Macaca fascicularis: one gene and its partner. The main gene of each other region encodes a partner of the protein of the gene in region 2 in a complex. Links are inferred from orthologs where the notes say so. Each region holds a gene or a part of one and is shown on either strand. Other genes may lie near its edges.

What was found.
Region 1: the proteins of KLHL3 (region 2) and WNK3 are in contact, whole or in part, in a crystal structure (PDB 5NKP), measured with the Homo sapiens proteins. The link is inferred for Macaca fascicularis from reciprocal best matches to the Homo sapiens genes KLHL3 and WNK3. Residues at the interface, in NP_059111.2 of Homo sapiens: Lys312, Arg339, Phe355, Gly357, Arg360, Thr386, Phe402, Gly404, Ser405, Gly407, Ser432, Ser433, Tyr449, Gly451, Arg454, Cys456, Ser481, His498, Arg528, Tyr577; in NP_065973.2 of Homo sapiens: Glu537, Cys538, Glu539, Glu540, Thr541, Glu542, Val543, Asp544, Gln545, His546.

The regions. Positions count from the first base shown.
Region 1 is NC_088395.1:54,211,813-54,215,463, reverse strand, and holds part of WNK3 (serine/threonine-protein kinase WNK3), read left to right. Parts: intron 1-253; coding exon 254-485; intron 486-878; coding exon 879-1,009; intron 1,010-1,824; coding exon 1,825-2,435; intron 2,436-3,651.
Region 2 is NC_088380.1:144,120,776-144,124,426, reverse strand, and holds part of KLHL3 (kelch-like protein 3), read left to right. Parts: intron 1-3,073; coding exon 3,074-3,191; intron 3,192-3,651. UniProt on the Homo sapiens protein: Substrate-specific adapter of a BCR (BTB-CUL3-RBX1) E3 ubiquitin ligase complex that acts as a regulator of ion transport in the distal nephron.

The DNA of each region.
Region 1 (3,651 bases), on a different chromosome or scaffold from region 2:
TAATATTTTTAAAGAAACAAGAAGGCTTAATTTTTGTAAATGGAGTACCTTGGGTTCAGTCTAATATGCTACTATTAATGCAACTAATACATAATACCCTATTTTGGGTTAAAGATCAGTCTGTACAAGAAATTCCGGTGTTATTTTTTTTAAAAAAAGCTTCACCTTACCTAAATTATTACCACTTTGGTTTTTCTCGGTTGTTTTGTTTTGTTTTGTTTTGTTTTGTTTTGTTTTGTCTTGTCTCCATTAGGAGATGTCCTCAGATGCTTCACTTCCAGGGGATCCAGAGGCCTATCCTGCTGCTGTGTCAAGCGGTGGAGCCATTCATCTGCAGACAGGAGGTGGATATTTTGGCCTAAGCTTTACTTGTCCTAGTCTCAAAAATCCTATTAGCAAGAAATCCTGGACTCGCAAATTAAAAAGCTGGGCATACAGGCTACGGCAGTCAACCAGCTTTTTCAAGAGATCAAAAGTCCGTCAAGGTAGTGTGCTTACAGTCAGGGACATAGACTAGGTAACATCACTTTTCATTTACTTATTTTTTTGTTGTTCATATACAAATCTTGCCACTTTTTCCACGTAGCCCATGTATGTGACATGTCCCATTAATGTCATTGCCGTTTTATTTTTTCCTTTTGTAACTAATTTGGTTTTCCAGTTATTCATTTCATATAGATACTAAGTCTTGGGATAAATCCTGCAATGTCTGATTTAGACTTAGGGACTTATACGATGTTGCTTATTACATTAACACCTTTTAATTGTCTAGCAGGAGTTAAGCTTTTTCTACTTTTCTTCATTTTTGGTAATGTAAACAAATTTAGTCTTAACAAACAATTTTCTCTTTTCTACTTACAATTTGGCAAAACTTGCAGTGGAAACAGAAGAGATGAGATCAGCAATTGCTCCTGATCCCATTCCTCTGACACGGGACTCTACAGCTGATACTAGGGCTTTGAATAGATGTAAAGCGATGAGTGGATCATTTCAGCGGGGTCGGTTCCAGGTTTGTGTCTTTGATTGAATCCTTATCTACAAGGGCATTATAAAACATAACAGCCACTGGAGATCTTGGTCTGTAGATGATACTTCCATTTTTGTTTTTTGTTTTTTTGTTTACTGAGATGGAGTTTCACTCTTGTTGCCCAAGTTGGAGTGCAATGGCATGATCTTAGCTCACTGCAACCTCTGTCTCCTTGGTTCAAGCGATTCTACTGCCTCAGCCTCCCGAGTAGCTGGGATTACAAGTGCACGCCACCACGCCTGGCTAATTTTTTGTATTTTTATTAGAAACGGGGTTTCACCTTGTTAGCCAGGCTGGTCTTGAACTCCTGACCTCAGGTGATCCACCCGCCTCAGCCTCCCAAAGTACTGAGATTATAGGCGTGAGCCACCATGCCCGGCTGATGATACTTACTTTAAATGTAGATCATTGTCATATTTAATTTGTTCACCTTCCATGCATCCCCTCACCTTTTGAAACCATCAGTAAAGATGAGTCTACAGAAATGGATAGTAGCTGGTAGAGAGCACAGAAATAGTTTTTTTTTTTTCTTTTTTTTTTTTTTTTTTTTGGCGGGTGGGTGGGTCCTCTTTTATAAATGTAATTTCACGTCTTTTAGAATCTCAGCAACTCTAATTGTGGAATTTTATTTGAGCAATATGATGCCCACTCTCTTTACCCAAGGGGCCTGTTTGAAAGAGTGAATTTGAGGGTATAGATTAAATTTTTAAGTTTTGCTAGTATCAATACATATACATCACAGCAGACCATCTACTTGTCTGTGCTATGCTAACCACTTTTACATTTTTATATCTCAGGTGATTACAATTCCTCAGCAGTCAGCAAAAGTGACATCTTTTGGAGTAGAACACATATCAGTGTTCAGTGAGACAAACCATTCTAGTGAAGAAGCCTTTATTGAAGCAGCAAAGTCTCAGTTGGTAGAAATAGAACCTGCCACACAAAATCCCAAAACTTCGTTTTCTTCTGAGAAGTTACAAGCTCTTCAGGAAACCTGTAAAGAAAATAAAGGAGTTCCCAAACAAGGTGACAACTTCTTATCTTTCAGTGCAGCTTGTGAGACTGATGTATCTTCAGTGACCCCAGAAAAGGAATTGGAAGAAACTTCAGCCACAGGAAGTAGCATGCAGTCTGGATCTGAACTGTTGCTTAAAGAGAGAGAGATATTGACTGCTGGGAAACAGCCTAGCTCTGATAGTGAATTTTCAGCCAGTCTTGCTGGCAGTGGAAAGTCAGTGGCAAAGACTGGTCCAGAGAGTGATCAGTGCTTACCACACCATGAAGAACAAGCTTATGCTCAAACACAGAGTTCACTCTTCTATTCGCCATCTTCCCCAATGAGCAGTGATGATGAATCAGAAATAGAGGATGAGGACTTGAAGGTGGAGCTTCAAAGATTACGAGAAAAGTAAGGACTGTTTCTCTTTTGTCACAAATCTGGTTGCCCTGGATTTTATAGAACTTAGTATTTGATTGGTAACTAATTTAGGATTGTTGACATTTTAATGATTGAAAACTACAAAGAATGCTAATGCTAAACATTTATGAATGAGAAAAAGTTCTTATATATAAAATGTTTTCATAGTCTCAAGACTATTACAGTTGCTTATTTACCAATATGATTTAATTACTCCTTTTGTTAACCTTTACAGTCCTTATTCTTAAGGACTTTTGGTTTTAGATTTTACAACTATTCTTATATAATTTCACATTTGATAAGTAAACAGCTGATTTATTATAATCAGAGATAGTGGTTCATCTTCTTTAGGAAAAGGTAAGATACTTTCAAGATCAAGCTTATTATTTGGTGACTGAGGTAATCAACCTTCACTAGTGAGATTATGATAATATATTTTGTCAATAGAATGCTGTTTTGTATTTAGTTTTATAAAATAGGTCATTTTAAAAAAAGAAATTCAAGCCAGCTGGGCATGGTGGCTCATGCCTGTAATCTCAGCACTTTAGGAGGCAGAGGCAGGTGGATCACCTGAGGTCAGGAGTTCGAGACTGGCCTGGCCAACATTTTGAAACCTTGTCTCTACTTAAAAAAAAAAAAAACCATACAAAAATTAGCCAGGCATAGTAGCAGATGCCTGTACTCCCAGCTACTTGGGAGGCTGAGGCAGGAGAATTGCTTGAGCCTGGGAGGTGCAGGTTGCAGTGAGCCCAGATTGTGCGCCACTGCACTCCAGCCTGGGTAACAGAGCAAGACTTTGTCTAAAAAAAAAAAAAAGAAAGAAAAAAAAGAAATTCATATTAAGTTGCTGAATTCTAATTCTATCCACATGGTTCAAAATTCAAAAGGTACAAAAGGGTAACCAGTAGTCTCCCTCCTAGCACTGCAGCTGAACTACCCAGGTTCTCTCCTTACACACAATAAATATTACCTGTTTCTTGTATATCCAGTTAGTCTATAACCGTACAAACAAATATGCATATTTCATTCTTTGTTCCCCCAAATAGTAACTTACACTGCAAGACTGTTCTTATATCTTGGTTTTCTTTACCATTTCATGGTATCTTGGATATATACCTGTATCATTATATTTTTGACTGTTTCAAAGTATTCCAGTATATGCATATACTCATAAGTTAATTACTAGCCTCCTATTGATGACCCCATG
Region 2 (3,651 bases):
TGTCTTTCTACTGAGGCTTTACTTTAACATTACAAAATTTGCATTCTGTAACACTGTTTCTGTGAAAATTCTCAGAGATGAGTGGTAGATTTTCTCCAATATGAATGTACCCTCTACTTCCCTGGTGGGAGATAGTTTCTGGGGCATGGTGAGGGTTCCTGAAAACTTTGCCCTTTTTTTTTTTAAATTTACAAAAGAAGCTGGATAGCTTATGCCAAGAATAAGCAAACTTTCTTTTGGTGGTCGAGTCAAAAGATGGAAAAACTCTCACTTTCTCTTTTTATTTTGCTTGTTTTTTCCTCACTGTCTCCAGAATTTTAATCTGGTGTTCCAACATATTTTAACTAAAGAAAATGGCATTTTAGTTTAGTTTCTTTTTTCATTTTTAAAAACTCTGTATTGTTGTTGAACTCCTTGCATGTGCTGTTTACTTTTTATTCATGTATTCTTTATTCCAAACAAATACTTGAGCCCTCACTTTTACCTGGCAACATAAGTTTGTGGAGTTATCTTGGTGACTGAGGCAGATACATCTTCTGCCCAGGCAGGGCTCACCGTCTAGAGGCGCAAAAGACAAGTCACTGATGGTCCAGCACAATGCAGAACCCACAGGGCAGGTGAAATCTCAGAGGATGGATGTGTAGTTCTGACTTGGAGGCCAGAGAAGTCCATTTGTAGGAAATAACATGTAAACTGAGACCTGAAAGATAAGCAGGTGTTAAGGCAGAGCGCTCAGAGTTGGGAAGAAGGTTTCGAGTCAGGGAACAGCATGTGGGAGGGTGTGGGGTGCCTAAAGTCCTTGCAGAAAGAAAACTTAAAACTGCTTTTATTCTCACTCAGCTTCAGAAATCAGATTTCAAAGAAAATCTTGCAATATTTGCCTTCAGTTTGGCTTTACCAACTCAAAACCGGAAAGACAATGCAAGTTCTGGGCATATTTACAAGCACGTAATTCTGGCCTTGAAGAGTAGATTAGGCATTGTCTGGAGTTTGCCAAGGGGCTGTGCTCATTAACATCCCCCTTGAACTGTTCATGGATGCCTGTCTAAGCAAAGAATTCCAGATGGGAAGTAATGTAGAATTCATCTTTACTCTGAAAAAGGCTACTCTTGACACAGGGCAGTGGGCCCTCTGAACTGAGGCACCCAGGAAAGTCAAGAACAGAATGTTTCTGTCTGGAAGCAGCAGCAGCAGCAGCTCGAGGCTGGGCTTTGTGTCCTGGGTTCCTTTGGAATGCTTTAGAAGTCAGAACTGATATCTGAATTTTTGAACACTGGTCACCCACTTTTGGTGACAGACAGCTATGGACTAAATCTGATGACCAGTGACCACCCACATGGCAGTGGGTGAGCCTCTTCTGGAATATTGGGGAATAAAAGATTGATCTGTAGTAATGGTGAGCTCTGGTTTTGCCTCCCGTATGGTGGGAAGTGTTCATTTGAGGGATGTGCTCCTGCGAGTTCACACAGAGTTTGATGGGCACTTCTCTCCCCAAAAATACATCATGGGGAAGTAAAAAGCCCTATGATAATTCATAATGGCAAAAGTTTTTCATGGCATATCATCAGGAAATCTACACAGTGTGGATTAAAAAGGTAGTTCTCAAAGTATGAACCCTAGAGTGGCAGCAGCAGCAGCACCTGGGAACTTGTTAGAAAGGCAGCCTCTGGGCTCCACTCCAGATCCACCGAATCACACTCTGGGCACAGGGCCCAGCAGCTTGTGTTTTCACAAGTCCTCTAGGTGATTCTGATGTATGCTCAAGTTTGAGAACCACCGGGTAAAGGAGACAAGCTACAGGTAATGATCAAATGAATTTGCTGGTTGTAACTTCCACCCTTTCTCTCCACTCAAGAAAGCATATCGGAATGCCATTGAGTGAGAGTGACATCATTGTGGGGACAGCTATGAATTCGCACACGCTTATTAAAATATGTAAACTATAGGTAACTGGTACTTTAATATTTATTTATTAATAACATGTGACCAAAGGCACAGCAGTGATACCACAATTAAGTACTGCAGTTCTATTAACCTAACCAGAGCAGTAGTTTTCATTGTTTTTGACCATGCCCTTGCAATACAAAATGCATTTAAATTTCTATCCAGAAGACACATGTAAGTGTGTACAACTAAAACAAATATTTCATGAAATAATATTCTTATTATCGTACTTTTAAAAATATATATGCTGGTCATAATCCATTAAATTGATTTCATGACTTACTAATGGAAAGTGACCTGTGTTTTGACAAACACAGATGCAACCAGCTGTGTTTGCTTGGATCCTGTCTCTAGAGCAGGAGTTGCGGGGGTGGCTGGCCTCACCCTCTGTCAGATAGACTTGGATTTCAGTCTCTGCCTACACTCCTAGCTGTGTGACCTTGGGCCGCTTAATGTGTTCTCTGAGCTTTACTTTCCTATCTGTCAATGTGGATGATGATGATTACCTCACAGCTGTGGTGACGAGTAAATGACAACACATTTCACATAGTGCCTGGCAATGGTGGCTACTACCTTACTTGTGGAAATAGGACTGCTAGCACTAGTTTTCAGAACATCATCAGTTTAATAACTTTTGTAATAACCACCTCACAGGAGTTTTTCACAAGTTTTTTCTATACTGCAGTGCAAAAGTGCACCCTACATTCTAGGCATTCAGAAATACTTTTGAATAATACTTTAAAAAATGCATCCAAATTCTGCACTCTTTTTCAAAGTATATTCAAGTTTGTTTTGATATAAGATTTAGCACCTCCCATTCCCAATCTTGAGGACACTGAGATTACAGATGATGCCCTACGTGGCTTCACACACCCACAAGATAGCCCCTAGTGGGGCATTTGGGAAATAGAACTTATGATTGTGTTTCTGTGGGAAGATGCTTGTTAGACTTTTCTTGAATACTCATACCTGTTGGTGACTAGGGGCAGCATCTCCATGTATGTAGCTCTGTAAACTGGCATCTCGGATCATCCACAGACCCTGAGTGATAAGCCATGTGGAAGTACCAGGGATACCATAAATCCAGATTTTGGGGAGACCCCGCTAATGTCCACTTGTCTCTCTGGAGGTCATGATTGTGGTTGGCGGCCAGGCACCCAAGGCAATCCGCAGTGTGGAGTGCTATGATTTCGAGGAGGACCGGTGGGATCAGATTGCTGAGCTTCCCTCCAGAAGATGCAGAGCAGGTGAGCAGCCTCCCAGTTCTGCAAGCTGTTTTTCCCCTGCTGGTCCCCACTCTGTGCCAGAAGTCGTGAGCTACTCCTTGTTTCCTCAAGCATCTGTGCATTTCAGGCTCCCTTTCTTTTCCCTCCTGCACAGTTTTTTTTTTTTCTTTTTTTTTTTGTTTTAAGACAGTCTTGCTCTGTCACCCAGGTTGGAGTGCAGCGTCATGATCTTGGCTTACTGCAACCGCCGCCTCCTGGCTTCAAGTGATTCTCTCACCTCAGCCTTCCAAGTAGCTGGGATTACAGGCACACACCACCATGCTTGGCGAATATTTGCATTTTTAATAGAGACGGGTTTCACCATGTTGGCCAGGCTGGTCTTGAACTCCTGACCTCAGGTGATCCACCCACCTTGGCTGCCCAAAGTACTGGGATTACAGGCATGAGCCACCACGCCCGGCCACTTGCACAGTTTTTGGCT